4 linked regions of the Diceros bicornis minor genome follow. The protein of the gene in region 4 interacts with the protein of the main gene of each other region in a pairwise test. Links are inferred from orthologs where the notes say so. Each region holds a gene or a part of one and is shown on either strand. Other genes may lie near its edges.

Evidence for each region.
Region 1: the proteins of OTX1 (region 4) and COMP interact in binary tests that used the Homo sapiens proteins (3 or more experiments, as listed by UniProt). The two-hybrid records come from large-scale screens. The link is inferred for Diceros bicornis minor from reciprocal best matches to the Homo sapiens genes OTX1 and COMP.
Region 2: the proteins of OTX1 (region 4) and SPRY1 interact in binary tests that used the Homo sapiens proteins (3 or more experiments, as listed by UniProt). The two-hybrid records come from large-scale screens. The link is inferred for Diceros bicornis minor from reciprocal best matches to the Homo sapiens genes OTX1 and SPRY1.
Region 3: the proteins of OTX1 (region 4) and RGS17 interact in binary tests that used the Homo sapiens proteins (3 or more experiments, as listed by UniProt). The two-hybrid records come from large-scale screens. The link is inferred for Diceros bicornis minor from reciprocal best matches to the Homo sapiens genes OTX1 and RGS17.

The regions. Positions count from the first base shown.
Region 1 is NC_080759.1:6,347,712-6,355,025, forward strand, and holds the start of COMP (cartilage oligomeric matrix protein), read right to left. Parts: upstream 3,008-7,314; coding exon 2,929-3,007; intron 2,700-2,928; coding exon 2,614-2,699; intron 2,218-2,613; coding exon 2,166-2,217; intron 1,753-2,165; coding exon 1,583-1,752; intron 885-1,582; coding exon 747-884; intron 479-746; coding exon 404-478; intron 309-403; coding exon 150-308; intron 64-149; coding exon 1-63. UniProt on the Homo sapiens protein: Plays a role in the structural integrity of cartilage via its interaction with other extracellular matrix proteins such as the collagens and fibronectin.
Region 2 is NC_080750.1:16,482,984-16,490,562, forward strand, and holds the start of SPRY1 (protein sprouty homolog 1), read left to right. Parts: upstream 1-4,561; 5' UTR 4,562-4,683; intron 4,684-5,390; 5' UTR 5,391-6,126; coding exon 6,127-6,208; intron 6,209-6,364; exon of another isoform or gene 6,365-6,443; intron 6,444-6,980; exon of another isoform or gene 6,981-7,139; intron 7,140-7,579. UniProt on the Homo sapiens protein: Inhibits fibroblast growth factor (FGF)-induced retinal lens fiber differentiation, probably by inhibiting FGF-mediated phosphorylation of ERK1/2. Inhibits TGFB-induced epithelial-to-mesenchymal transition in lens epithelial cells.
Region 3 is NC_080778.1:15,790,786-15,798,475, reverse strand, and holds the start of RGS17 (regulator of G-protein signaling 17), read right to left. Parts: upstream 3,015-7,690; 5' UTR 2,914-3,014; intron 1-2,913. UniProt on the Homo sapiens protein: Regulates G protein-coupled receptor signaling cascades, including signaling via muscarinic acetylcholine receptor CHRM2 and dopamine receptor DRD2.
Region 4 is NC_080751.1:24,466,470-24,473,520, reverse strand, and holds the start of OTX1 (homeobox protein OTX1), read left to right. Parts: upstream 1-4,049; 5' UTR 4,050-4,151; intron 4,152-4,485; exon of another isoform or gene 4,486-4,498; 5' UTR 4,499-4,580; intron 4,581-4,824; exon of another isoform or gene 4,825-5,511; intron 5,512-6,131; 5' UTR 6,132-6,244; coding exon 6,245-6,341; intron 6,342-7,051. UniProt on the Homo sapiens protein: Probably plays a role in the development of the brain and the sense organs. Can bind to the BCD target sequence (BTS): 5'-TCTAATCCC-3'.

The sequences.
Region 1 (7,314 bases), on a different chromosome or scaffold from region 4:
GAAGCCGTCCAAGTCCGTGTCGCGGCCGCACAGGAGACCGTTGCCCGCCCAGCCGACGGCACACTGCGGGTGAAGGAGTGAGTGGGCGCCCCGGAGTGGCTGCCCCCCGCGCCCTCAATCCTCGCCCCTCCTGGCCCGCGCGCACTCACCACGCACGATCGCGAGCCATCGCGCTCCAGGACGCAGTCGGCCTTCTCGTGGCATGGGCTAGGCGTGCCGTCGGGGCAGAAGCGCTGTGCGCGCGGACGGCAGCCCGACGCCTGGTCGCCTACGAAGCCGGGCTGGCACGGGCCGCACTGGAAGGAACCCTGCGCCCGAGTCTCAGTCAGCCCGGGCCGCCTGCCACTTCGCACCGCACCCCGCCCCCGTCGCTCGATCCTTCCCCTCTCCTCCTGGGCCTTACCGGGGTGTTGATGCACACGGAGTTGGGAACGCAGTTATGCTGCCCAGTCTCACACTCGTTAATGTCCGTGCAAACCTGGGTGGGAGGGAGCGCAGAGGTAACCGCCCCCACGCAGACACCCCCGAACCTCCCACGAGGCTCACATTTCCTCTGCATCCTACTTTTCCCTTCCATCCTGCCCCCAACCCTGACGCGGACCCTTCCTCTCTCCATCCGCCAGACCTTGGTCCCCACCCCCTCGCGCTGGAGCAAGGCGGGGAAAAGGCTTCGAGGCTAGAGAACGCGTTACTCAACAAAGTGCGCCCCCCATCTCCTCCTAGCGCCTCCCTCCCACGGCCCTCACCTGCTTGTTGGCCTTCGCGAAGGCCATCCCCACGCCCTCGTGGGTGGGGCCGCTGTACCCGGGAGGGCAAGCCTCGCAGCGGAAACCGGGGCTAGTGTTGATGCAGCGGACGCGGGGAAAGCACGGGTTGGCGTTGCACTGGGGGAGGAAGGGCCACGGGGTGTCAAGGGCGCGGAGCTGGGCCCCCCGAGAGCAGCGCCTCAGGGTTTCTTGGGCTTGGACTTAGAAGGCTCCACGGTCATCAGCCAGCACTTGGAGGGGGGTGCCATGTAGGGCGGAGGCCATCGTCCCACGAGTCAGATGCGACTTTGCCTTGATGGGGGCAGGGGCGCGACCAAGCTGGGAGAGGGGCGTGTCTGGAGGGGGCTGTTCTTGCGACCCCGTGGGTTGGGTACTCATGGGTAGGGGAAGGAATTGTGAGGGCGGGCGTCCCCAGCAGAAGGGGGAAGTGGTCGTCGGGGCGTGCGTGCCCGGCGGTGGGGGGGTCGCCGAGGCAGGCGCCCCGAGGTGGTGGAAGGGTTATTCGAGCTAGCGAGCCCTGGAGGCACCAGGTCAGGTGAGGGGGGTCGTTGAGGCGGACCACTCTCGGCGGTAGGAGAGTCGTCGGGGCGGCCGTCACTGGCGATGGAGGGGGTCGGTGGGACGCGCGTCCCTGGTGGTGAGGGAGGTGGTTGGGGTGGGTGCCCCCCGACGGTGGAGAGATTGTCTGGACGTGCACTCCCGGCGGTGAGGGGGTCCTCCGGGCGAGTACCCCCAGCAAAGGAGGTTGTTGGGGCGGTGGGGAGTTGTGGGGGCAGGCGTTGGGGGATCGTCGGGGCAGTAGGGGGCGGGCGCACCTCGTTGACGTCGGCGCAGTATGAGCCGTTGCCTGTGAAGCCCGCGGGGCAGGGTCCGCAGCGCGCGCCGCTCGCGGTCTGGGTGCAAGCCACACCGGGGAAGCAGGAGCCCGGCGCGCACTGGGATACGGGCCGCACGCTCAGGCTGGGGGTGCGCGCGGGCTGCATCCCTGCGAGGGGCGGGGCGGGACTGGTCACGGCCACGCCCCGGGGCGGAGCTAGCAGGACCACGCCCCGCCCCCCCGCCCCGCACTGCGCGTTCCGCTGGCCAGGTCTCTCCAGTTACTGCGGTCTTTGCCTCTCCGCGTCCGTCCGCTTTCTGCTTCTCCCTCCGCGTCTCTCCACCTCCCTGCATCTCTCCCACGACCTCTGGCTCTTTTTGTGTCTCCCCCTCCCATAGTCTCTGTCTCCCCTCCCTGTTCGCCTCTCTCCGTCCCTCATCCAATCTCCATCTGGGTCGGCCTCCTTCTCTTCCTCCGTCTCTTTTCCTCCCGGTCTTCCCTTCGCTGTTCGTCTCTGTCTGTCTCCCCGTCTCTTCTCGCTCTCCTGCCCGCCCTGTCTCTGCTACCCCAGCTGCGCTCACCGCACGCGTCACACTCCATCACCGTGTTTTTCAGGAACGTGATCTCCTTGACCTGCAGTGCAGGGAGTACGGGGCGTGCTCAGCGGTCCTCACCCCTCTCCTCCCTCGGGTGTCCCCTCTCCTTCCCCCAGACTCCCTTCCCACAGACCCACCCACTCCACTCGCACTCCCTACCCCCAGACTCCCTACCCCGCCAGCCCCTCTTCTCCTTCCCTGGGACTTTCTACCCCCTCAAGCACTCCTACCCTCTCCGCGGAACCTTCTATTCCTGCCCCCGCTTTCCCTCTTCCTTTTCCACAACCCCTTCCCAGGTCCTGGTAAGGGGGTCTTACCCACCTCCACCGGGACCCCCTTCTCCCCGACGCTCCTCTACTTCCGAGGCCCCTTCCCTCTCTCCCAGGCCTCTCTCCCCTCTCCCGCACTCCCTGTCCCCCACCCCGGCCCCCACCTGCTGCCGCAGCAGCTCCCGCACGTCCTGCAGCGCCGCGTTGGTCTCTTGCAGTTCGCGCAGCATCTGCGGGCCCAGGTCTGTACCTGCGCCGACAGGGGGCGCTGGTGGGGCGTCTGGGCTCGAGGACCCCCACCACCACTCACTCCGCCGCCGGCGCAGGGACCCCGGACGCCCACCTCCTTCCTGAGCCTCCGCCCTGCACGCCCCCGCGAACAGCCCCGGAGCCCCAAGGAGCCGAGACCCCAGGCCTCCCGCGGGTCCTCCTGTCCGTTTGGGGGTCCGGCACACACCGCGGGGGAGGGCGCAGCTTACCCAGCGGGATCTGGCCCTGGCCGGATGCGCCGAGGGCGGCCAGGGTGAGGAGGAGAACGCAGGCGGCGGCGAGAACCATGACGGCGACGGGGAGCTGGACGGAGGCTCTCTCTCTGCCGCCCACGAGGCCTGCGGGGCCTATTTATCCCGGCAGCGCGGCCGGCCCCAGGGACGGCCCACCACGGCCCTGCCCAGCGTCCATCCGCAAGGTAAACAGATGGCACTGGCCTCTGCATTCAAGGCCCCGCCCGACGCGGCTGAACCCGGACCCGGCGGGGAAACTGAGTCACGGGGAGCCTGTGCAGGGGTCGGTGGGGCGGTGAGTCAGGTGGGACCACCCTTCATCCCTCTCATTCACTTATTTATTGAGTGCCTGATGTATGCCAGGACTGGGGCATAGCGGGGAAGGAGAGGATCCCCATGGCGGCTCCCCTCAGCTCACACTTGGGGAAACTGAGTTAACAGCTGCTAAAGATCAGGACCCACCTCCACTGGCCACCCTGCTTTAGGTCAGGCTGGCTGGCCCTTCCCTCCCTCCTCACTTGCTTCAGAATGGGGCAAATGATGTCTTTCTGTGCCTCAGTTTCCTCCCCTGCACAATGGAGGTATAAGTATCATTGTTGACGGTGGTGATTGTTATTACAGGAAAAGGAAGGATCAAGCGAGAGCAGGGACCCTCTGTCTTCCTGCCCAGGTGCACGGGGGCTTTCTCCTGGCCCCCCTCCCCAGAGAGTTGCCAGTGACTGTAGGCACCCCTTTCTGGTCTTGTGTCTCTGTGATTCTCTGGATGGGGTGGGGGCAGCCTGGTCTCCCAGGGGCCGGGAGCCCACTCAGCTTCCCAGTCTGTGCGATGGGCTGTGCGTGAATCCACCTCCGGGGGCGGGGGCGGAGAGCAAATCAACAGGCTCTGCTGGCGGAGGTCTGGGGGGGCCTGGGGGTTCTGTTTGTAGAGCCTTTGCCATACCTTCCAAGCTCCGCTCCAGCTGCTGTGGGAACAGCCTGTAATAAAAATAAAAATTACTGCTAATCAGGAAAATCGTCCCTCCCAGCCCAGCCGCACTTGAGCTACAAGACACCTTGGCTTTCTGGAGTTAACCCTCTCCACCTCCACCCTCCAGTGCTTGCAGCCTCTATTCTATAGACGGGGAAACTGAGGCTCAGAGAGGGAATGTGACTAGCCTAAGGCCACTGCAGGGGGCAGGGGTGAAGCCAGGGTAGGGTCATAGTCAGATCTGTTCTCCTGGGAGGCTGCAGAGAAGTCATGGAGGGCTTCCTGGAGGAGGTGGCAAGGAAACCTAAAGGAAAGAGAGGACTCAAATCAGCAGAGGGAAAAGGAGAGGACAGTTCTGACAGGGAAGCGTTTGGAGCTTGGACGTGGGGAAATTTCAGGCACATTCATTTATTCCGCAAATGTGCGTTGAGTACCTACTGTGTGTTGTGTCCTGTGCTGGGCACAGGGACACAGGGTGAACAAGCCAGGCTGGGCCCTTCCCTCATGGGAAACCCAGGTCACTGGGGAGGCAGCTATATAATCACCAAAAGGGGCCAGGGCTGTGATGGGGGACGCACAGGCAGTGGTGGGAGCTCCAAGGACCAGGAAGATGAGGAGGACACGGCCAGCAAAGAAATGGTGGAAAGGCCTTCTGGGTAGAGGAACAGTATACACAAGACCCTGAGGCAGACATGAGACTGGTCTGCTAGATGGACTGATCTCAGGGTAGAGATTTCTTGGGGCTCAGGAGAAGCAGTGCTCGTGGTGTGGGGCTTGGGCTGTCTTCTGAGGGCAATGGGGAGCCACAGAGGGTGAGTGAGGAGGGGTGGGCCTGGAGGTGAGGCTGGGTGGGAACAGCTAGCCCCAGCCCAATGTCTCCAGTGAAGCCCGTGCCCTGACAGTGCCCGCCTTGCCTGCTGCCTGCCACCGGGCCATGAGCTCACCTCCTGTTTTCCTTGGCGTCCAGCACACCTGGGGGCCGTTCCTGGCTGGCGCTGGAATTCTTGGGAAAACCACGACTCCGGCAGGGCCTGTGGGCTTGTGTGTGCCTCATGCAGCTGAGACAAGGGCACATGGAAGCCAGGCCTCTGCCACAGGCTGGGCACGGGGCTGAAGCTTGCACACACGTGGCCTTGTTCATGGCCATGGGGAGACTTGGGGAAAGGCGTTCCAGGCAGAGGGAATGGCAAAGGCAGAGGCCCTAAGGAAGTCCCAGCTTGCAGATCAGACACAGAGGCCCTGAGACAGTCTAGTTTCATGCTCCCGGCTCCTCGATCCACCAGCCCTGAAATCCCCCTTCCAAGCAGCCGCTCCCTCCTCCCATGCACACCACACCAGCCTTACGTTACAGAATAACTCACTTTAGGTGTCCTTCCCGGCCGTTGTACCTGCTGTTCCCCACCACCCCAAATATCTTCCTCCATCCTTCAAGTCTCAGCTCTGACGCCCCCTCCTCCAGGAGGCCCTCCTTGCTCTTGCTGGGCAGGGCTCAGGGGCTGGTGCCTGTATGACAGTCGCCTGGGACCCCTGGCAAAGTATTCTTGGCAGAGAAGGTTGGGATGGCCTGACCCCAGGGACTAGGAGTGCTCTGTCCCTCCCAGCCTGGGGCCCCTCGGGGGCCTGTGCTGGTGCAGAGGGGGAAGGCTGGAGGGTTTGGTGAGCCATGACAGCGCCTGCTAGGATTAGTGTGACATTATTATTCCTTAGAATTAATGTAGCATCATTCCTACCAATAATAGTAACCCCTGCCACCACTGGACCTTAGGACAGACTCAGGGGCCACATGGCCAGGCACAGCCTTGCTGTGTGACCTAGGGCAAGTCGCTTGACCTCTCTGTGCCTCAGTTTCCTCACCTGTAAAATGGAGGTGATAGTTGTGAGAGGATAGTTATTGAGAGGATTGAATGAGCTAACCTGTGCCCACTGTCTGGCTGCAGTGTTAGCCTCATTATACGACGTGGAACTTAGACGCTGTGCCTCAGATCATTCTTATTCACATTTTCCTCAGAGAGGAGACGAGACAGCTCAAGGTCACACAGCTGGGGTTAGAACTGGGGAAGGTGGGACCCCTAAGGCCTTCACACCCCCTCCCTGCCCTTGGCCACAGAATCCAGACTAGAAATGCTGGCCCGGGCACCTCATTAGCTGTGCAGACTCTGTTGCCTGGGACCTCCTGGCCTGAGCCTTTGGCCAGCGCCCCAGCCAGCCCCCCTTCCCACCATGCCAGACCCAGCGGTTCCAGGAGCCCGGCCAGGCAGGGGTAGAGGGGCCGGGGCCTGCGTGATGGGGGCCCCAGGCCCTTCCTGGCAGAGCCCTGCTGGGCCAGGAGACATGTGGGCGCCCTCAGCTCGCCCAGCCGCCTCCCCTTGTGAATTCAGGGGGAAAGTATGTCGGGACGGCAGCCGCCCTGCCCTGGGCGGGCTGGGCTGCAGGCCCAGGGTCTGGGGAATTCATCAGGGCAGTGAGGGAGGCCACTTGGCCACTGCTTCATCCATAGCTGAGGAGCCTGACCCAGTCTGCCTTGGACGGCCCCACTGGACCCGTCTCTCCACAAGGACCAAGTAGCCAGGGGGTGTGGGGGGGCAGGGTGCCAGCAGGCACTGGAGTCTGACAGGCCCACTTGCTCTGTGACCTTCAACAAGCCCTGCCTCCTCTCCACCCTTCATTTGCCCCAACCCTGTCCCCATTCCATCCTAGGCTCCCCAAAAGGTGATGACAAACAAAGAAGATAACAATAAATATAGTGGCTACAATTTTATGGAGCAAGTGCCAAATGCTCGAAAGCTTGCCATGCCACTTTTGTGAGTTTTCCTTTTCTGTACGCCGCCACCCTCCGCAGCCCCAGGAGGCAGGACCTCATTAATCATGGGAGGCAGCAGGCACAGCGAGGAAGGTCTTGGTCTCTGGCACTGGGGCCCTGAGTTTCACATCCCAGCTCTGCTGTGGGACCTGAGGCAAGCTGCTTAACTTCTCTGTGCCTCAGTTTCTTCCTTTTTTCTTTTCTTTTTTTGGGGGGGAGCGAGGGGCCACCTTCAAAAGTTTATTATAGTGTAAATTTTTGCTTCTCAAGGTTAGCCAGCCTACTGAAGAGTTGCTTCAGGAGAGAAGGAACTTCGCTGGGAACTGACTGGAATTTAATGATGTGGCATCCAATGGATGCTGGTGTCTAAGAATGATTTTACACAGCCGCTGCCTTCTTAATTTTCCAGGGATGACTGCGGCAGGACAAATGACCACCTTGGTGTTCTCTCCTTTCCTCTCACACTTAATGACAATTTTGTAGGTAAGAGTAAAACAAATCTGTATTGTTTTACAGATGTATTAGAGAGAGACTGCCTGCCGGGCTAACTACAGAAATATTGTTCTCTCCCTCAGTCTCTCTCTCTCCGTCTAAG
Region 2 (7,579 bases), on a different chromosome or scaffold from region 4:
CTTTTTAGATATTAATTACTTTTTTAAAACATGTATTTGCTTTACTTACTCTTAACGATCACAAAGAGTTTACAAATTTTATAGAAGGGATTTTTAATATTTGCAATGACCTTTATCTTAACGGGAAGTAAAATGTAAATGAATAAAAATTCCAGATAAATGTTAAGGTGATCAGGCTCATTAAATTCCTTAATCTGAAATTATTAGCAGATAGCTGCTCCAAAATCCCACTTAAAACACACGTACACACACAGCAATACAATTATTTAAACCTAAGAGTTCAGCCTTAGAAAAACAAAAGTAAAACTGAATTAACTTGAAACAATTACAAGACAAATAAATTCATTATTTGGGGATGAAGCTCCTAGAAAGAGGGAACCTGAGCTATTTCCTCATCATACAGTGTGTTTGAGGCAATGATAACTTATATATACAGAGCTTTAAAGCTTACCAAGTACTGCATATATATATTCAGTCCACAGTAGCACTATAACTTGGGAAGGCGAAGTATTGTTATTAACTTCAGGTTTTTGATGAGAAAGCAAGCTAAGAAAAATTAAGTGAGGGTCACCAAGCAAGAAAGTAGCAAAGCCAAGACTTGAGTTTCATATCATCTGACCCTACGTCAGGTACTCTTTTCTCAATACCATGCCATTTTCATGCTTGTAATATTGGACATGGGGAGATTATGGACGAATATGGTATATTAGCTAAAGTTATGGACCATGATATAGAAAAATGATGTAGTCAAAACTCATATTTTCAATATATGTGTCCTATCAATATTACAGACCACGTGAAATGTTTTTATAAGTGGAATTATTTAAAATGCTCCAAGAGAATTGCAAATCAAAGAAGACTCTCAATATAAATTCTTTTTATAAAAAATCTCTTGTAAGTTTTTGTGTTTTCTTTTTTCAATATTAGGCATTCTTAAAGAAGGCGTGCCTACAGCCATTTCATCAAATAAATATTCTTTTATTTTCCCAGCTAAAGGATAAACTATAGCCTTTGGAATAGGTTATTTCAGTCGGAAATAAAGATCAAAGTGGGCAAGACCCAGGAGAGGTTTTAAATTGTTTTTGTTTTAACGAAAACATGATTGTGTTTTCTAACTGTTTTATCTTTGGGGGCACTTAGAGGTTTAAATTAACCTAGGTTTTTAGTGCTTGTCTCTGAAGATGAAGATAGCAATAGATAGTTAAGGAAATGAGAGATTAATAACTTGCTGGCCAGAATCAAAGATGATACCAGGTGATCATTATAAGGGCCATTCCATGCCTTGTTTCAGAAATCACATCAGCAGAAGAGATGGCTAATCTTGTTTTCTTGCGAAAATGAAGAACAAGTCAAGTCTCTAAAGGAAACGTTTAATATTATGGAAGAGGAAAGAAGATAGGATTTATTCTTCAATTGGCTAGACAAGAAATGAAGCCTGTTTTGCACTAGGTGAAAGATGTCTCCTTATACGACTTTACCATGTGGGTTTCATTAGTCCAGTCTTTGATATACAGTAGTGATGCAGTTTGTCTGAACTTGCCACTTTGATTCTCTGTAAAGGAATATGACACTTAAGGAATGAAGGGCACCAATTCAGAGCCCTTCCATGTGCATTTCTTTCTTTCCTTACAACTTGTAGAAAAACAGAATCACTTGTGACAAAGTACACAAATGGTTAGTTGTGGAATTATAGAGCTGACAGAAACTACAAATCATTTAGTGTAGTTTACTCAATATATTGTTTGATTTGCCCACTTCCACAATTTGAAATCAATACAGAACATTAGTATTTCAAATAGGGCAGAAGGATGAGAATTACGCTTATGAAAATGAAGAGACTGTTTATGGAAAATTTACAGAATAGGTTGGTCTATTTCTGTCAACTACAAACATTGTTTACAAAAGGAAACTGAAAATAAAATGGCCTATCCTTGCCAGCTTTTCTTGGGAAGTATAGTAATATAGTGACTATTGCCCTAGAAGGAAAGTAGAGACTGAGCATCCATTCCTGGTTCTTCATTGATTTATTAGATTCTTATCGGCTAACTCACCAACTTCTGTGATTATTTTGTTTGTTTCTCAACAAGATAAAAGATTATAGTTATTATCATGACTTCACAGAAGCATTGGGAGAATTAATAAGATTATTTTTCAAGAGCTTGGAACACATTATGGTTCTCCTATTTTGGCAAATAAAGTAGATAAATGACTAAGTTAAGCCTCTCAGTATTACACTTTTTAAAAACAATCCTTAGCAGTTGTGAGGAATTACCAGACTGTTTTCTTTCATTTTACTTTATCCTTTTTTCAAAAATCAAATCAGCAGAAGAGATGGCTCATCTTGTTTTCACATGAAAATGAAGAACTAGTCAGGGCTCACTTTCCATTCCACTATATTCTTTTAGACATATCTTAATATAGTAAACTGAAAATTATTGTAAGATTTTCCCATGGATATTTACATTGTTTTTCCTTTTCAGGAAAATTTTATACTCCAACTATCTATTTCTAGCCAAGGTACACTGTAATTAAACTTACTAAGTAAAGAACAATCTCTATTTTAAGCTAAAAATCTAGAATTTCTACAAAGTCTTACAGTTGCAGGCAATCAAATGGAGAAGCAGGTTTTAAATCTCTTCTAGATCCAGGGTGGCAAGGCTATACTCATACTTATTTGTAATGCAACATTTAGAGCAAACCACATTGATATATTTCAGTGCTAAATGATGTAAAGGGTCATTGGTCAGCTTTGTGCAGCATAATATTTGATTTCTAAATAGAACATGACCCATGATGATGGTGTTATAGATAAAATTTCATGGATTTTATTTATTGTTGTAATTTAAAAATACTTAATCTCATGCAAATTATAACTTAATATATCTGTGGTTGAAATAGTTTGAAGTTTATTTGTAATAGAAATCTTTCAAATAAATTTTTGTAAGATTTATGGAAGTGGAATGTTCAGTGCTCCCTCTCCTGGTTTTATCACATTGGTGAAGTGACCTCTCATCCCAAAATTGTGGTGATAGCTGAGAAGACAATTTTGAAGAACCAGTTAAGTGACTCCGATATGATCTTCTATTTCTGATTTGACTATTCCAAATCCATTAATAATGGTCAAAAAACCTATCCATCATTGGTTAAGGTTCATTACATCCCAAAATATGAGATAGATGAAAAAAATAGAAAATATATACAATAAAGTTGAGTTTATGGTTTTAAACAGCCTGTTTTAATACAATTTATAATATTAAGAGTGATATGTAGCTTATGTCTTCATTTCTTGTTCTGTTATTTTCTATTGATGCTTTCTTTTCGTTGTTGATGGTCGTAACAATGCCCTAGGTTCTTCAGAGCTAATTCCAAATACAACTCTAAATTTTTAAAGTACTCAAACATTTGAAAGTCTAGTATAGAAAAAAAAAATTCAACAGAATCACTTGCAGTTGTAGAAGGAGATTAAAAAAATTACTTTGAACTGAAAATTTCCATACTCAAATTTATGTAAGATTTAGATTCTGGAGTTTTGTTTTGTTTGCTTTACTTTGCCAAAGACTGTAAGATACTTCTGCTATGTAGTACCTGGAAAAAATATTTCCTTCCCATTTATTGTATGTTTTGGGGTTTTAGGTATCTTTCAAAAGTCTCTCTAGAACCTTAAATTTCACATAAAATTTTCCTCATTGCAGCATGAAGTACATGATTTTGATAATAAACGTCTAAAATCCCATAGTTTGTAAGGACACAAAAAGCAAGATTCCTACTGATTAAAATGCTCGTCTTTTTCAGCGACATTATATATGATTAAGAATTAAAACTTCTTGGCAAGTTATTTCTATTTTAATTAATTGCCTTTTAGATGATTTTAAAAAATAATTTTTTTTTATTTTTTGCAAAATTATACAAACATATTACAAAATTGGAGGAATTTAGGATTTTTTTTCATTTTATTGATTTTGGGGGATTATATCACAAACCGAGAGAGCAATTATTTAAAAATCTACAGCAGGAAATTTCACCTTTATGACATGATGTAACAGGACATTTGCAGTAAGGGGTGCCACCTTTTGAACTTCGAGATTTCGCATATTCTGAATTTGCTTTACGTAGGAACTGTAATGTTCCATCATCGTCTTTTTAATATCATTATACATTTTCTCTCCAGCTGATCATAAGTGATAGCTTGGCATACCAGTTTTTAAAATCTTCTTTTATTCTTTAAAATTATTTTCTAATTCAACTTTAAGGGCCGAGACCACCAATCCTTTTACTGAGATTGATAACTAAATTTAAAGGTATTCTTTTAAGACAAACTACATTTGCAGGATTTTCAGAGCAATCTCAAATTTTTAGAGGATGTTTATTACAACGACCATACAGGGCAACATTTCCCAGTTGGTACACATAAACGAAAGAGGAAACGACTGTTGGGGAAATCCTGTTCCAGGTTTTCAGGCAGCCCGTGTGATTGACACATGATATCACTGGAGGCGTGTCTCCGAGCGGAGGTGGAGGTGGAGGCTAGGAGCTGAAATTCTGCGGCGCTGGAGTGGGATCGCTCTGTAAGGCACGCAGTGGTTTGCAGAGTGATAGCAGCAGACAGAGCTCCCTGCCTTGGATAAGGAACAGCTACAGTCGCTGTAAATGTGCCTGAAAAGCAATTTCCAATCTTTGCGTTAGGTAAGAACCGTTTCCTTCCTTTCCTTCCATAGACATTTCAGGAAAGATTAGGTGAGAAATGTTGCACGGAACCGAACATTTCTTTGAACTCGCTTTAGATCTAAGATTACTGGTTGCATTTCAAATTACCAGTAGCATTCCCACTGCTAAAACGACTGCTTTTAAAAGTAAATGCTACCGCTAAAAGAAAAAGCAGGTCCCTTTCAATTTTTTTTTTTTTTACTTTTCCGAACAGTAACAAGTTTAAAATCTGAAACAGTCGGATGTGTGAAAAACAGGGTGGTTTATGCCGAAGAGGGGCTCGGTGGGTGGACCAAATGCATGTTTGTTTAGGCATTGTTGGCGACCGAATCCCGAGCGAAGCAATTGTTTAAAACCTGAATTTCCCGTCTCTGTGTATTGATTTCCAATGTGCAGAGGCGCTGCTTGAACGTTGTTTGAACTCCTAGGCATTCCAAGGGGCAAAAGCACTTCGGCAAAAACGTGCAAGACTGCATGTTACTTTGGTTCGCTGCTGACACGCCGACTGTGCGCCGGCCTGTCAATCACGGGCAGCAGCAACAGCCAGCACATGGCTGCGGGCAGCGGGCGAGCTGGCGAGTGGCCCGCCCCGCTCCACTCTCCGCCCGGGCGACCGAGCGCGCGACGTGTCCAAGTGCCTGGAAAGAAAGGGAAATTAACGTGTTTTTGTCTCTGCTCCTCTGCAGCAGGCATTTCCGCCGTGGACCCGGAGGGTCGGAGGACTGGGAGCGCGCGCTGCCCGGGAGAGGCTGACCGCCAAGACCTGAGTTCCCGGGGACGCCGTGCCCCAACTGGCGCAGCGTGCGGGATCGCCAGCGTGCCTCGACCTGCGCGGGGGCCCAGCCACGACGCCCCGCCTCTTCCTCTGAGAAGCACCCCTAAACCTCGCTCCTTTCACCACCACCCCTAAAAGAGCGGGTAAAAAACTCCCACCCCCCGACCCCCGGAGAGCGGCGGCCGCGGCCTCGCAGGCGTGTGCCCCCGGTCCGCGGACGCCGGTTCGAGCCCCGTCCCGGGCGCCGCGAGTCTCGAGCGTCCGCGCCGTGGACTTTCCCTCCTCCGGAGGCCGCCCTCCGTCCTTCCCCGCGAGGAGCGAGCTGAGCCCGGGAAGCCCTCTCGTCCGAGCACCGCGCGCCCGTCGGCGGCCCGGCACGCACTCTTCTCGCCGCTGTCCCGAGCGACTCGGAGAGCCCGCCCGCGGGGGATTCTGCTGCTGGCTCTGGGCAGGGGGCTGCGGGAGGAAGGCCGGGCGCTGGAGCTTCCTGAGCCGTGAGCGGTGTGCGCCGGCCGCCCCGCGTCTGGGAGAGCTGTCCGCCGCCGCCGGAAGGGGGCCGTGCCGAGCGCTCCTGCCGGCGCTGGGGAGGCCGCGGGCCGACTCGCCGCAGCTCGGGCCATGCCTCCTCGTCCTCCCCGCCGCGGTTGATGCGGCGCCTGCACGCCGCCGCCCGCACCGGGACCTCGGCCGGGTTGCACGGCTCGGCTCCGCGCCCCCGCTTCGGCCTAGGTGAGTGGCGGGGCCGCCTGGGCCCGCGGGGGGGGGGGGGGACGCGGGCGGGGCTGCTCGGCGCGGCAGGTGCGGGCGCGGGGGGCGGCGCGGGAAGGGGAGGGGCGACCCCCTCGGCCCGGGGCGCTCCGGCTGGTTTAGCGGGGAGGGGACCTGCCGCCACCGCGGAGGACGGCGACGCAGGGTCCCCAGTTCCTGGCGCGCTTGTCCTCCCGGGGGACCCTCCACGCGAAAGGTAGACTCAAGGAGGTTTCGGGTGTTCCCCGGAGGGCCCCGGGAGCTTCTCGGCTCGTGCCAAAGGCGAGCTTTCAGTGGAGGAGTCTCCTGCGGACGGGGGACCGGGGAGGGCCGTGTGTGCATGTGTGTGCGCGCGTGTGTGCAGGGGCGCAGCCCCGGCATTTGCTGGAAGCCCCTGCACAGAATGAGTCCGCGCCCCCGCCGCTGCAGCGCTCTCCTCGTTGCGAGAGCGGTGGCCCGGCGAGGGGCGAGGGCACTGCCGCTTTAACGGGGGAAGTCCGCCCCCCTGAGGTCATGGTAACCTCAGCCTCCTCCCTCCGCCCGCCCGCCCGCGCGCGCGAGAGAGAACTTGTTTTCATTCATAACTTTTTCCTTTTCCTTCCTCTCCGCCACTATTTATTCCCCGCCGCTCCCCGCTCGGCTTGCAGAGGGCGCAGCGCCACCGTCGGAGCGCGCGATGTGGCGGCGCGGCTCGGCTGCCCCGGCCCGCTTCCCCCCGGCTCTTTAGGAATCCGGCTTCTCCTTGAAAGTAGGGACAGATATTTATTCGTACCCTTCCATGGCCGGGGCTTGCTTTTGGCGCCTGCGTTAGCTCCGAAGGCTCTTCATGGTTGTAGGAAAACTTGGTGGGATATGCAAAAATGTTCTGGAAATCCACGGTGATCCTTAGGATGTGATGGGATTGTCCGAAAAGGTATTGGATTCGTGTTTTCTGGGGGGAAAACAGTTTGCCGAGAGCGTGTGAGCGGGTTTGGGGAGAGCTCAAGGACTGTCACTGCGTGCAAAGGGGCTTTGCTTCCGATCAGAGGTGGCTCGTTTTCTTTGCTTTTTCTTTTTATCTGGTAATCGAATTCCCAGCCAGCATGCACTTTGTTACAGCTCTCATTTCCAACTCCGATTCAAGTTGAGCCTGGTGTTTTTACTACGCTCTTCAAACCCTTCTCCACGGTTTTTTCTTTCGGCTAGAATCTGACTTAGGACTTTTAGATCCTCTTTGCCTTCAAAGCACCGGGTTAAAAAAGTTCTTTGCAAGGAGGAGTGATATTGCGCAGAATAACGATGCAATATTTTTAACAGTCCTTAAGGACTCCAGGACTAAACCCAGCAGGTTATGAATGTGTTTCTCCTCATTAT
Region 3 (7,690 bases), on a different chromosome or scaffold from region 4:
CCATAAAAACTTACAATATTTTTGAGGATCCAGAACACCTTCCTGGAAATGTCATGCAATTTTAAGCCTCTACAATGCATTTATGCTTATACGCTAACTGTAGTAATCAGATGAAATAAAATGCTTTTTAACATCACACAGCGTTACTGTCATCCACTGAGTGTACAGTGGTCCTTGCATTTGCCCTTCTATGCAGTGCTGTATCTTCATTGTTAAGTAAGCAGAGCTGGATATTCAGAAAAAAGAATCTCAGCAGAAATGCAACTGGATGGATTCCTATCCCTCTTGGTTCCACATCTCATCGTTCATGCCCGTCTTTCATTTTTCAGAAAAGCCCATGTCTTTCAGCAAATGGACTTTTAATATGAAGGCCATTATCTCTAGAACACAGGTAAACGCTTTCTTACTTTTTAGTCTATGAGTCAACCAGAATTTTTATCAATTTAGATTTAGATTTGGCTGTTATAATAAGGTCAAATGGGTAAGAATGTGTATATTTCTCCTTTTCTACAAAGCCCCTGGCCCTCATAGTAGGAAATATTAAGAAATGTTTTATTATTATTATTATTATTATTATTATGCAAAAGTGTAAGAAGTCCATAGGAATGATAATGACTTAGACTTTCAACATGATGAGTTCAAATAAATTAGGACCCTGTAGGAAGATCCCTAAAAGCAAAGAGATAGCTATTTGAGAAGGAAAAGCTGGATTCCTTAGAATTGGACAGCAAAGTAACTCCTTGTTAATTCCCTTCTATGGGAATTAAACACCAAGGAGTAATTGAGGAACCAGAGAAAAAAGGGTAGAAATCGGCACAGACACCTTATGTTATTTGCTCTGTAAATTAGGTGGTTTTCTTAACCTCTCAGACTATAAATTCAGGACAAAGGATGAGTGCCCAGGGCTCTGAGATCAGATGTCACTGTCATGGAGATTCATCTTATTTAATGTGATACCATCCAATCCTTTTGTAATAATAAACACTTGTTTTCTCATCTCCAAAAACTGTTAATAAACTACTTTCTCATGGTTTCTCTAAATATAGTTTTTAAGATTTTTAAAATAGTGAATAAATCTACTCTTCCATGAGTGTGTTAATTACTGTTTTAGTTCATGCTAACAGAAGAAGCAGCTTAATAATAGTGACTTAACTGGAGGTGATCAAAATGCTCATTCATTTGAATTAATGAGTCCGAATCACCTTTTCATTAGATATTAGTGCTATAATGTATATTTCACTGATACCTGCTATTACTACAAAAGACTTTAGAAACAAATACAATTGACTTAAAGTGTCACAGTTTTCAAAATTATTTAATACACATAGTGTCTAGCAGCTATGAAACCAGGAGAAAAACATTATTTTCCATTACAAGGGTAAAAACTGTTTCTCCTTTCTCCAATTAAATGATTTTCAGAAGGGTTCATCACCCGGAAAAACAGTATGTATGAAATCCGGAAATGCAGATGATAGATATCCAGTCTTATAAATGCTTATTATAAACGGGAACCAAACTCTAAGATTTCTCTCTATTACTTGTGATAGCCATCCCATGATGGAAGTAATCTCGCTGTAAAACAACTGAAAAAAGAAAAAGAAACTATGGGAAGATTGCAAAGTTCTCTAGACAAACCTTCCAGTGACTCGCTTAAAGAAGGAAGCATTTATCAAAGGGTCAGAGAGGTTAGGAAAACTATGCCAGGAGCCAGGGTCAGTCTTGCCAGAGCGACTGAGATTGTCCCAGGTGAGCCGGTGTCCTGGGCTCTGGATGGAGGCGGAGGGCGCAGGGCGGGTCCCGCACGGCGCGCATCCTTTTGGCCAGGAGACCCCTGCTCTGTCCCCGGGAGCCCGGCGATTCCCGAGGCTGGCGCGGGCTGCCCGGGACGCACTGCCAGCAGCCTCCAGCTCGCGAGGAGCATCTCCCCATCCGCGGCTTCCGAGGCCAGCTCTGTCCCTCCGCCATCCTGAAGTCCTCCGACATTTTTCACCGAGACAGGAAGGTAGGGAGAAGAGGAAACGGCCGAGCGTCTGCACCCAGCCTCTGCCGCAGCACATGAGGAGGAGAGGAGGAGGGAGGCTATTAAACTGTGATTCTATCGATAATAAAAAGAATCATCACCCACAGCAGGGGAGTCTCGGATACACCCACCTGGGCAGCGGCTAGGGAATTGGTGGGCGTTCCTCCTCCTCGCCCCCTCGGTGGCTGTGAAATCTACCCCAAGCCAAGCACACAAGAACTCCCTTTCCTTCGACTAAGGAGAGGGCAAAGAACAAAAGAGACCCCCACCCCCTACACACACACACACACCTCAGACATTTCACCGATGCTCAAGGTATGCATTTCTGCAATCCCTTTGGCTTACACCTTCCCCACCTGAATAGTGCGTTTTCCCAAAGGTAAAGAAAGAAAAAATACCATGCCAAGGTGATCGGTCGACTGGACACTGTCAATTCACATTCGGTTTTCCAACAAACCCCCACAAAAATCCCGCAGGACCTCGCGCCCCCGCGGGGTCTCCGCCGCCCTGGGCCCTCTGCCGGTTCCCCGAAGGCGCCCAGCTCTCCGCGGGGGACCCGACCGAGGGCTCCCCGGGCGGGCAGGACACTCGCCCAGCCCGTCCGCCGCAGCTGGAGGGCGGCGAGCGGACCGCGCCGAGGCAGCAACGCCGGACGCAACTTCCCAAACCCGCGGCGCGGCCCCCGCTCGCACCCGCGGCGCGGCAGCAGCGCCGAGCCCCCCGCGCCCGCAGCCTCCCCCGCCAGGGCGCTGGCAGTTGCACTCTCCGCCCCCTCTTTCCTTCACTTCCCCCCCCCCCCAACCACCACCTTTAAAAAATTCATCCCTCGGTGCAAAGCAGACATTTTGATGTCATTTACTTAGCCCCGCTCGGGTTCGGAGCCAGCATCTTACCCAGCCGCCTGGAGGTGTGGGCAGCGCACCGATGGGTCCGGGGGCGCGAGGCTGGGCTGCTCGGTCCTCTAGCGGAGCCGGTTTGCTGCCATCCGCCCAACTTCAGCACCCAGCGGGCGAGGAGAGAGGGAGAGAGGCGAGGATGGAGGGGAGGGGAGAGGGGGCGGAGGGAGGGGTGGGCGGGGAGGGAGCTGGAGCCGCTCGGCAGCGCGCATGCGCCCCGCGGGCGGGCGCAGCCCCTCGCCCGGCGCGGCCGGAGGTGCCGCTTCTTCCCCGGGCGCGCGGCCGCGTGAGTCACCGCCCCGCCCGGCCCCCGCGCGCTGCCCGCGGCTCGGCGCCCGCGGTGCGGAGGGTCTCGGCCGGAGCTCCCGGCGCGGGTGCAGGGCTTCGCGGGAGCCTTGGAGACCTGGGAGCCTTCCTTGATTAGAGAGGCTCTCGCGCCCAGGCTCCAACTTCACGTTCACCCGCAGCCCTCGTCTGTTTCATCCTGTGCTTGAGGAGAGTTGCTTGACACCAGAAGCATGTCTTTAAGGAACAAAACAGCGCCGCAGCAGCGGGGTCCCAGTGGAAGCAGTCCCTGTGTGGGGGTTCAAGAAAGTGTGAAGTTAAGCAAGTTTTGCTTACCCAAGGACTCGACTTTGGGAAGAGTTCTTTAGTTTATTGACGTCCTCACCCGGGAATCTGACCCTTTGCCCTAAGAATTATTTCAGATGCTCTCTGGTCTGGGGCATATGTTCTGTCTCAGGAGTCTGGACCACTAGAACCAGAGTTTTGATTGAGAGAAGCCGATGACAAGGCAGGAGTCGTGAATTATTAACAGAGGTGTTGATGCTTGGGGCCTGGAGCATCCTTCAGGGACAGCTCAGTAGCTATCAGGTCTGATAATTGTTCTAGTCACAAGCGGAGCCCCGCTTGGTAGTGAAGGAGCTTTGGCTACTTAATGCAGCCTGAGCGCTAGATTGCATCTCCGATGATTAGATTGAAGTGTTTGTGAGGGTGAATTAGGGAAGCGGGTGTCTTTCTCTTCAGATGTGACATCTGTGGGAAGAGGAGTGAGTTCCTGGCAGGAATGATTAGGCTTTTTTCTTATACCTATTGCAAACTAATTACTTGTAAGTATATATGATTTCCCATTGTTTGTGTGCTCATGTATTCAAACAGTGCTGTTATTTCAGTCTCCTTTATGGAACGTGCTCTGGCCTCCCACCTCTCCACCTCTACTTGAGTTAAGTGTGTCTCAGAGTTTGCTCCAGGGCCTCCTTCTCGCTACATCATGGCTTTGAAGACTAGTGCTCTTCCAAATGTATTGCCTGGACTGGTGTTGGTCTGCAAATTGTTCCTTATCGGTCTGTAAGGAGAGAGAAGTACAGAAATTGAAAGTAAGATGTAGAAACTTTTATAGCACTTTGACATTGCCTTGACATCCAAGCACATTCATCAGCTGTACTTTCTGTTTTTTGATTTGTAAAGTAATTCATTTTTGTTGGATTTTACAAAAGTATTGGTCCACGACGCGTTGAAAATAAAAAATAGAAGTCCTTCACCAAAAATGATTTGAGGGGCACTGAATTCTATGTAACTCCCAGATTTATATCTTCAGTCCTCACCTCTCACAGAGCTCTTTTATGCCCTCAACTACCTTTACAACTCCATTTGAAGAATGATTATAATAGTTAATATTTATGGAGCAATTACGGTGTGCTGGGTACTGATCTACATGTTTTGCATATGTTTCTTATTTTCTCTACAAGGTAGATACTATTATTATGTTTAACTGACAACTCAGGAGCAGAACTCCAGATACCCGCCCCCTCCAAACCTGTTCCTCTTTAGACTGTTCCACCCGGTTACTCACGTCAAAAATTTAGAAGTCATCCTTGTTTTGTCTCTTCCTTTCACGCCAGCATCCAATTAATTAGCTAGCCATGTTGTCTCCACCTCCAAAATATAGCCCCAATTCCTCCACTTCTCTCCCTCTCCATTGCTATAACGATGGTTCAAACCTCTATCGTCTCTCACCTGAGCTACTACAAAAGCCGCCAGTGGGGTCTCCTCCACAACCCCAAACAACACATTCTCCAAACAACAGCTGAGTGATCTTTTAAAAACGTAACCAGATCATGTCATGCTTCCGCTTAAAACTTTCCAGTGAGTTTTCATTGCACTTTAAATACAACCCCTGATCCTTACCACAGCCTAGAAGGTTCTGTATAATCTTGTCCCAGCCCAGTTCTCTTACGCCATGTTCCCATAGACCATACCTATGTGTGCTATAGCCACATCGGCCTATTTCTGTTACTCTCTTGAGTAAGTCTAGCTTACAGTACTTGCTGTTCTTTCTGTTTGGAATCCTCTGCTCCTAGATCTTTACATAGTAGGCTCCTTCATATCCTACAGGTCTCTGCTCAAGTATCACCTCCTCAGGCTTTATCTAACCACCTGATCTAATTGGCCCCAGGGTTCTTCTCTGTTAGATCTCCTTGCTTTGATTTCTTCCAGATACTTTTCACTATCTGAATCAGCTTGCATTTGTTTACTTGTTTATTATCTCCTCATCCTCCTCTAGAATAAAGGATCTCAAGAGCTTTGCCTGCACTTTTATCTCTGGTGCCCAGAACAAGATTTGGCACGTATTGTTTACTCACTAAGTATTTAGTGAATGAATGCATGATTGAATGAATAAATAACACACTTAAAAAAAGTATTTTATTATTTTTTCTGATGCTTCTTCTTCTTGGATCCTCATTGCTGCCTGTCACAATTTGTTTGTTTCCCAGCAGTACACAGAGAGACAACATTGTTTCCTCTGTCCACCCTGTCAGAGATGGCTCCATGTAATGGCACACATTTAAACTAGACGCCAGAGTCGTGTTCCTAGAACCAACTTGAAAACAAGCATACTCAATAAAAAAATGATCCTTACTTCCATGAGCTTCCCTAAATTGTAATAATGGCTACTTGGGCAATTTTTTGCACCTAGGACAACTTGGCTATTCTGCCAATAATTTACTTGCTAAAGTCAAATGTAACCTCTTGGTGACTTTCTTTCATGCCTATGGTTTGTTGTGTAATCCTTTATGTGTTAGCCAGAATCTTCAGTGATAGTGTTCTAGGAACTGGACGTGTCGCCTATGATCTTAATGTTGAACAAATGGCATTAATGACCTTCACCTCATAGAGTTTGGTCACTTGCAATCTGTGTGTATATCTGGGTCTTAGGAAATATCTGCAACACCAGTGACATCAGATGATGACTAGGTCAATAATTCAATTCAATAAACTTTATTGATCAATAAAATTTATTGATGTCTACTATATGCGGGGAATTATGTCTTCAAGTTTTTTTGCAAAAATTGTAAATGTTATATAAAATTATTATATATGACTCAGAAATGGATTTCAGTTCATTTCAGCCATGGGAATGTCTTCTCTTTACACAGAATTTTGGAGCTCATTGAGCTTATCATCATTAAACAGCTGTGTGGTAACTACAGAAAGCAGCATTTGATCCTGATCATTTCCATACTGTTATGGATGTGTTTTTCAAGTGCAGAGAATCTGGATACAGCAGCAGGATTTTTGGCATAATGACTTCATAGTAAGGCAGACAGGAGATTTGCAGGCAAGATATTTGCAGACAGAAGGTATTGGAAAAGGACAGAGCATAAAAATATTTACAGTACATTTACTCATAATTAGGGGTATTTGTCATCGTTAGGAGACCTGGATTCTACCTCAGTGAGTTTGATACCCTTGGAAGGTTTTTTCAGGAAGAAATTATGTAGCATCTTTACATTTCATTCTCTTTTCCCACATGCTCATTTATTTAAAAGCAACTGTTTTACCTTCGAAAAGCAGAGAGAAAAGGAAGAAATTTGCTTGAATCTAAAAAACCCTGACTGCTCCATCCAGGCATACTTCTCCAGAGTGGAGCACGGAAAGATAGTTAGAATATGACTGCTTAAAATCACTTTTTCTTTACTTTTAGTAAACGGGCTTATCCTGTTTCTTGAACTGGTTTTAATCAAGCCTTAGAGACATGCTCTTCTCAGGGAACTTATTTAGATAGAAAATACTTGTGTTTCTTCATCAATATTTGAAGGAGATGAGAAAAAGAAAACACAAGATAGTCTTTCTCCCAAATATATAAAATGAGGTATAATTAGAGTTTTACATTTTATATGCACTTTAGTTTTTATAAATTATTAGTTATTAATGTTTCCTTAATATTTAACTTATCAGCCTTGAACTCAAAAGACACAATATTATTCTTTCAGAATAGCATTAGTGCATTTATATCTCAATGTAATTGGATGATTCCATGGAAGTAGAAATAAATACCTTTGTATGATTTTTATCATTTATGCCCAATTTTGTATAACTAAGTTCCCACAATGGCTTAACAAGATAGAGTTGGTTTTGAGTCACCCTAAATACTTTATAAAAGTACTCATTAGATGAATCCTGGATATTCACATTCTTTTTGGTTTAACAGATCTACCGTATAATGTTGGACAACATTATATGATAGCAAATATGGAAAAATAGCAAAATGTTCATCTCACCTGGAGAACATGATGACATTCAGTTATTACAGTCAGATTCTTTGTGGATGGAGAAAAAATTCCAGAACTTAATGGTCCATATTATATTATCTTGAGATTTTTGAAGGTTTCTAGATGATAGTAGCTGGATTGTAGAATAGGCTTCTGCTTTGTCAGACCTACCTCCAGGGTCTGAAGGAAGGAAGGGTAGAGAGAGGCAGTGGTTTGATTTC
Region 4 (7,051 bases):
TACACGAATGTGAATTGAAAAACAATTAGTCATATTTTCTTAAGCATTGTAAACTATCATCTTTGGTAAAGGGTCATCTCTGTTGTTCAAGATTTGAGGAAATTTGTGATTCCACAGCACTGTAAAAGTGTTAGTATCTTGATGAATTTTCCACGTTGTTGTTTTCAGTTGTTATAATTTTGCACTCATATGAGAAAGAACTGTGACTTCTGATAACTGTAGGTGCTGAAGTGAAAGAAAGAGGGTTATTGTCGGGGGGAGGGGTTTTTGTGTGTGCAGATACATGTGTATGAGATGAGGGAAAGGGAACTTTTAACAAGAAGTTCTAGGCTACAGAAAAAACTGGCGATTTTATGGTAGTTTCCATCACTCCTCTGCAGAGGTGTCCGAAACAAAGAGAGCTCGTTCAACAAGTCTGGAGACAGAGAAGACAGTCCACCAGCATTTATACTTTAGCCTAGATCACACATACATATATACACACACATACATTTATGCAGATATATACAAACATAAATTCCGTTCGAAAAGTCTGCAGCCGCCTTCAACTGCCAGTATTTCAAAATGATAAAAACTTGCTACGGCAGAATTTCTTCATGACAAGGATTTTAAGAAGTTATTGAAAAGTTATCAGAACGAAATGAAATGGGGTATTTGCTCTCTAGGGGAAGCTCTGAGAACCCCGCTCCACCCCGAGGGAAGCCAGCAGACGGAAATCGCCAGCCCGAAGCAGCTTGGGGCTTGGGCGGCCAGCGTCATCCACCCCATTTACGCTGGATTCGGGGAACCTTCCGTCCCGAGGAGCCTCGCAGAGAGGCGGCTCCCCTAAACCTCTCCCGACCTGCCAAGTGACAAACCTTCCCTAGGCACAGATTTGCTGCCCCTCTCCTGCTCTTACTGCCCCAGGCCTGAGCCTCGCGGGGTTTCCATGTGAGCTGCTCTGTGGCGCCCGCACGCCCCGCAGCGGCGGCAGAGCGCGGACCCCCGGGACTAGCGGAGTCAGGCCCGCGGCGTCCCGATTTCGTCGCGTGGTGCCCAGAGGCTGCCTCCGGAGCGCAGGCGCGAGCTCAGCCTGCGTAGAGGCCGGGAACCCGAAAGCCCGCGCTGCGGGAATAGAAGCTGGGGGCCAGGGGCCGCCGAGGAGGAGGAGCATTGGCATCGGGCTGGCTTGGGCATAGCCCGCGGGCTGGTGCAGAACCTCCGCCCCTGGCCAGGATCCCACGGCCCCAGAGCCAAACCCCTCCCCTTGTCCCAAGTGTTCTCCAGAGTCTGGCCCGGCCTCGAGGTCACCTGGATGCTGGATCCGGGTCTTGGGGCCCAGCTCCCACGCCCCCTCCCCGGCCCCGAGACCTCGAGCTGGGTCGACATGCCCTTTCGCGATGCCCCTCTTCCCCTCCCGGCGCTGCGGCCATTGCTGGAACGGTCGCGGCTTCTAGCCCAGAGTCTCCCACCTGGACATTTGCCTAGCGACGGCCGCCTCAGTCCTCTACGCTGTGTACAAGAAACTTTCATCTCAGTGTCTCTCCCTCTCTACTCTCCCCCCTCTCCCCTCTCCTCTCTCTCTTTCTTCTCTTAATCCCGGGGTTTTATGGGTTGAGCATTAAGAAAATTCGCCTGCAATTTGGGATTAGATAAATACTCTCATTAGGGGGGAAAAATCGTGCTGCTTGATACCTCCCAACTTCCCCGAGACCGTGGCAGCATCTGGAACCGAGAGCGCCGGACTCCCGCGCGGCGGGCCCTGGGGACCTCCTGGGCACATTCCAGCGCGCACACCCGCCCCACCTCGCCGCGCCGGACCTCGACCCGGCGCTGCGCTGCAGGCGAAACGGCCCGGAGGAAGCAGGAGCGCAAGAGATTGCGGGACTGGGACAAGGGCGCGCACCCCGGCAACGGAGGGCTAAGAACCCAGGCACACAGAGCGCAGGCCCAGGCAGGGGCAGCGCGGAGCTGGGGACGCAGACGCTGCGGAAGCGCCCCCCGGGACGCCCACACCCTGGTCCCCTCTAAACTAGTGAGCTCCAGCCCGCGCCTTTCCCCGCAGCTGAAGGCGGGGGTGTATTTCGTTTCTTTCTTTAAACCTCTGCACCGTCCCGGGGGCTCCGAGCCGCGGGCCGCGCCGGCCATTCCCCACGGGGGCCTGCGCGAGCCTAACGAGCGTTCCCGTCCGGGTCAGCGCTGCGCTCTGCGCAGTTTCTTTTCCTGTTAAAGCTTTTTCTTTCTCATGTTTTTCCTTTTCTCTCGTTTTTTTATTGTTTTTTCTCTCTCTCTTTCATTCCCTTTTGTGACTGGGCCGCGGTGTCTTTGTTCTCGAGAGAAGCACCCGTGTCGCTGACTTTTGTGAACCAGAGAAGGGTCTTGTAAAACCTCCTTTTCTCCTTCATACTCCTCCACTCCCACCCCTCCTTCTTTGCCCCTTTGATTAGATGTTCCCTCATCGTCCAAAAAAAAAAAAATGTAATTTCGTTGGTCTGGCGGCCACTTTCTTTGAACATTAGCTCGCTTTCAGCTCCCAACTTCAATTAGAAGGAGTTGATTTTGAGAGATCAACAAAAGAACCGACCAAAGCCTTATTAAAGGTCCTAAGAAGATCTCCCGAGTCCTTTGAGAAGCAGTTAAGGAAACAGTGTGCCCTCCATCATATTCTGTTACCGTATTTTATTCGGACTCCAAAGGAAAGTGTCGCTTGGGGGAGGGGGAAGCACTTTGATGAGCGGCGGCCGCGGCCCCTTTTCACTCAGCGGGCTCTCCTGCCTTCTCCTCCTCCGCCTCGCCCAGCGCCCGGTCCGCTCTCGGTCCCGACCCCACGGCCCCGGCAGCGCCGGCGCTCCCCACCGCGATGCGCCTGGCGGCTCCTTGACTCGCCCTCACACTTACTCCTGTTCAAAGTTTTCACTCCGCCTGTTGGGGTGGAGGGGAGGGGGGATTAGGAAGAAGGGGTAGGAATTCCTCGAAAGGGAATGAAGTCGTGCCTAATATTCAGGAGGAGGTGCCATTTAAAAGAATTGCGTTGCTCAGTGTTGGGGCGAAAAACTTTTTTGCGCTTTGAAAAGTCTACCCAGGTAGACGTGTTGGAGAAGTTGTTCTGTTGGAAAATGGGCTTTGCCAGTACGAACAATCCGGGGAAAGCGCCTCAAGGAGGCTCCTGCGGCATGTGGAAAAGAAATTGAGGGTAGCGGTCTGTGGCCACGTTTTCCAGCAGACTGTCCTGGTAGGAGGAGACCGGGAAGGAGACAGAGAGACAGTGTGAAAGAGAAAGTTTCCTATCAAAATCTTTCGATTCAGAAGTAGAGTGTGTGTGTGTAAGGGGGAGGGGACGCCGGGCTCCAACGTTTCAGAAGAAGCGTTTACAATTTGCAAGCACCCTTCGTAGGGGCTGGGAACCCCAAGAGACGCCGAGGAGCAGGTAAGGGGTGGTGCCTCTCCTGCGGGTGCTGTTCCCGGACGCGGGAGTCCAGAGGCGCCAAGGCGGGATCTGCGCACCCGGAGCCGCTCCCGCGCTCGGCACAGTAGCCTGTGCCAGCACGAGCCGCCCGCGGCGTCCGTCTGCAGGTGGTGGCGCGGTGGAGGAAGACGCTGGGGCCCGCGGCGCCGCGAGAGGGGCCGGGGCCCCCTCTCCTGCAGCCGCGGCTGCGGAGTCCTCGCGTCCACAACCGGGCCGCCGAGCCGAGTGGCGCTCGAGAGAGCGAGGGAACCGGTTCTCCGGCACCGCGCCTCCTGTCTGCCACTCCCTCCCGGGCGCCGAAAGGGCGAGAGAAGGGCGGGGGCCCCGGGACGGCCTCGGGACCGGCGTCCCCCTCCGCGGCCGAGGCTCGGGCGCTGCGCTCGCCTGCCTCGCCTCGCTCTGCGAGGCGTTTGCCAGCCAAACCCCGGAGTTAGCGCGCGACCGGGGCGGGGCGGGCGGGCGGCGAGGGCGGGGTGCAGGGGGCGGAGGAGGGCGGGGGCGCGCGGAGGTAACCCCCGGCTCGTGCTGCCATTGCCCGGCTCCCTGTCACTCAGCCCGCGCGGGCCCCGGGATTGGCAGCCTAGCCCGGTTACGCACTCACCTCGCGTTCACATACCCGGGGAGGGCAGTAGAAAGGTGATCAATCTTCATCAGGCTACGTTTCCAATCACCTAAACAACCGGGCGAGACAAGCCACTCCGACAAGGTAAATCGCTTGATTTATTTAGTTTGCAAAGTGCTTCTGCAGGACCTCCCCAGCCCCCACCGCCTCCACGTCGTACCGGGAGTGCAACGGCAACCGCGAGCCACCTCCCAACTCTGCCCCTCTCGCCCCCCACCCTCCCCCTTGCGGCCCCTCGGCGCGGTCCTGGCAAGGTAGTGTCTTGGGTAGTGTGTAGGGCTTTGCAAACAAAGTGTCTGTGCAAAAAAGTGAAACCTGGAGGGACATGCACAAAGCCACTGAAAAGAAAGAGAAAGGAGGGAAGTTGGGGAAAGAAAGAAATCCGGGTGTCCTCGACCAACCGCCCAGCCTGGCGGGTAATTCCTGTGCAGCTCTGTTTTGCAGGTTGGCTGCCCGGCGGGTCTGTGTGAGGGCGCGAGGTAGATGGTGAGCGGCCCCGGCAGCTGAGGGCAGGTAAGGAGAAAGCCGCGGGGCCGCCCGGGACTCTAGGAACGCGTCGGTTGCTCTTGCTTTCTCCTCCTCCTCAAACGGGTCCCAGCTTCGCAGATCCCCGGCAGGTGGGCAGGGTTGGGGAGCGGCCTGGCACCCCTTTTGAGGCGCGGAGGACCCAAGAGCTCTGCTGCGGCCCCGGGCCTCCTCCCCCGCCTGCTCCGAAGTAACCGAGCTGAAGTGCTAAGTTTGAAGAAAATCTTTGAAAACTCAAGCTGCAGCCTAGCAGAGTCGCCGCAGCTTGAGTCCCATTCTCCTTCGGCCCGAGAGCCCCGGCTGTTTCCCTTTCGTCCCCTTCCCTGAAAACTGGGTTCTCCCAGCCCAGGTTGAGGGTCCCGGAGGATAGGAGAGGGGAGCGTCTTTAGCTCTAACTCCTCTCCCTGAAATCCCTGGCCCTGGTGCCAGGCCTGCTGTGACTTCCCACGAAGCGGGGTGAAGCGACAGGTCATCTGGGCCCCAGTCCCACTCCCGCAGCGCCACTTTCTGACCCTTGAGAGTAGCGCCTTAGGTGCGGGGCAACTCGGGAAGCGAGGCTTCGACCTTCCAGCCCCGGTCAGCGCGAGCTACGCCGCCGAGGCCTAGTTCTCCAGTCTCAATCGGGTCCCGGGGCCGCGGGTTCAGCGGGTAGGATAGCGAGCGCGCGGGACCTGCTGCACTTAGGCCTCCCAAATCCGCGAGACATTTTTGGGCGCTGGGCGGGTCACCTTTCAGCCCCCGCCGGGACCCGGTTGTCCGCAACTAGGACCGGGCAGAAAGAAGGCTACCGGCTTGTGTTGGCAAAGAAGGGCCTGTGGCCGTGGCTGACCTCGGGCCGCTTGATAGAACCGCCACCTCTACAGTGGCCCCTTCTGGCCGCCTCTGCCGGACCTGCGGTTGAGACGTGGTGGGATTGCGGGTGAGCAATCTTTCAACGGCTGGGCATAGAGAGGTCAGCTGGAGGGGTGGCTGCGGGCCCTGGGGCCGGGACTCAGCCACGGAGACCTTTGAAGGAATGTACTCTCCTAAGTGGGCAGTGCCTCCCGGAGAGGCCCAGGTGCTGCTAGCACCTTGGTTTTCTGGTGTCTTTTGTCCCGCTTTCAAAAACAGTTGAAACAAAACGAAACAACCCCTTGTGCTCTGGGCAGCCCGCCCGGGTGCCGTGTGAACGTTTGCTTGTGCAGTATGAGGCCGGCTCCCACCGGACTCAGAATTTTGCCTAGACTTGGGACCTTGCACACTCTGCGGTTCAGGCTCAGACCTCCCCAGCTTGGCCCTGCTTTTAACCTCTCCTCACTCCTAGCGACGCCCTGCGAGTGTCTTTGGCCCTTTCCAAGCCCGGAAAGAGGCGATGACGATCCAGAAAAGTTTACTTTTCAAAGAAGCTGTGGTCTTTGGGCTAAGGCTTTGTAGAGCTGAGTCGACTGCCCAGCGCAGTTCCGTAGCCTGGGTCCCCTCCCCATCCGGTGGCTCCTTGCCTCAGAGAAGACCAGGAAGCTGACATGGCTCCGAATGACGGTTTGTATCGTGTCTCCATAGGCCGGGCCCCCAGACGCAGCAGAGCTTGAAAGGACTGCGCGGTGGGAGACCCGCACTGCGCCCGGCCCCTGGCCCCCCTGGATCCGTCGGGGCGCCTCCACCCGGCTGTTAGCATGATGTCTTACCTCAAACAACCCCCATACGGCATGAACGGGCTGGGCCTGGCCGGGCCCGCCATGGACCTCCTGCATCCCTCCGTGGGCTATCCGGGTGAGCACCAGCCCCCACCCCAGCCCCTGCTACTTTGGGGACCCTCGGTCTCGGGTTTGAGCACACGCTTTGTTGCCCAGCAGGCCCAGGGAACCGGTTGCCTAGTCTGCTTAAAATTCAGGGCAGGCTGCAGGCTCACAGGGCCGAGTCGCGGGTCGGTGAGATGGGCCAGGGCGGCGAAAACGTTCAACGTGCGCTCTCTCGGCCGGCCACACCAGCAACCTGTATCCTGTTGTGGTCCCACTGCCAGCACGGGGCACATTTACCCACGGATTCGTTTCCCATGGGTGGCTTTTTTGGTGTGTGTGTGTGTGTGTGTGTGTGTGTATGTATGTATGTGAATCTGTTCCTTTCCCCCCAATATGGAATGCGGAATCTGGACACTCACTAGGCCCTGACAGGAGGAAACGAGCTTCCCATATGGGAAGCCACTGGCTAAGCCGAGGAAGGGGAATTCTCCTTCCTTAGTTAAATTGTCCTTTAGACCTGTCGCCTGTACCAACTTCTGCGCTGCTGATGTGGACGGCTTGGGTCGAATCCTGGCTTTCTTTTCTGGTTCCCATTCCTGCAACCGCATTTATTCCCTTGGCAAGTGTTTTCCAGGTCGTGTTTCTGCGTATCCCTTCCCCATCCTTCAGCCAGGGAGTATGTGGGAGTGGTGGTGAAGGAAGGGAGATTGTATAACCTCTCTTCCTTCCTTAACCTCTAAG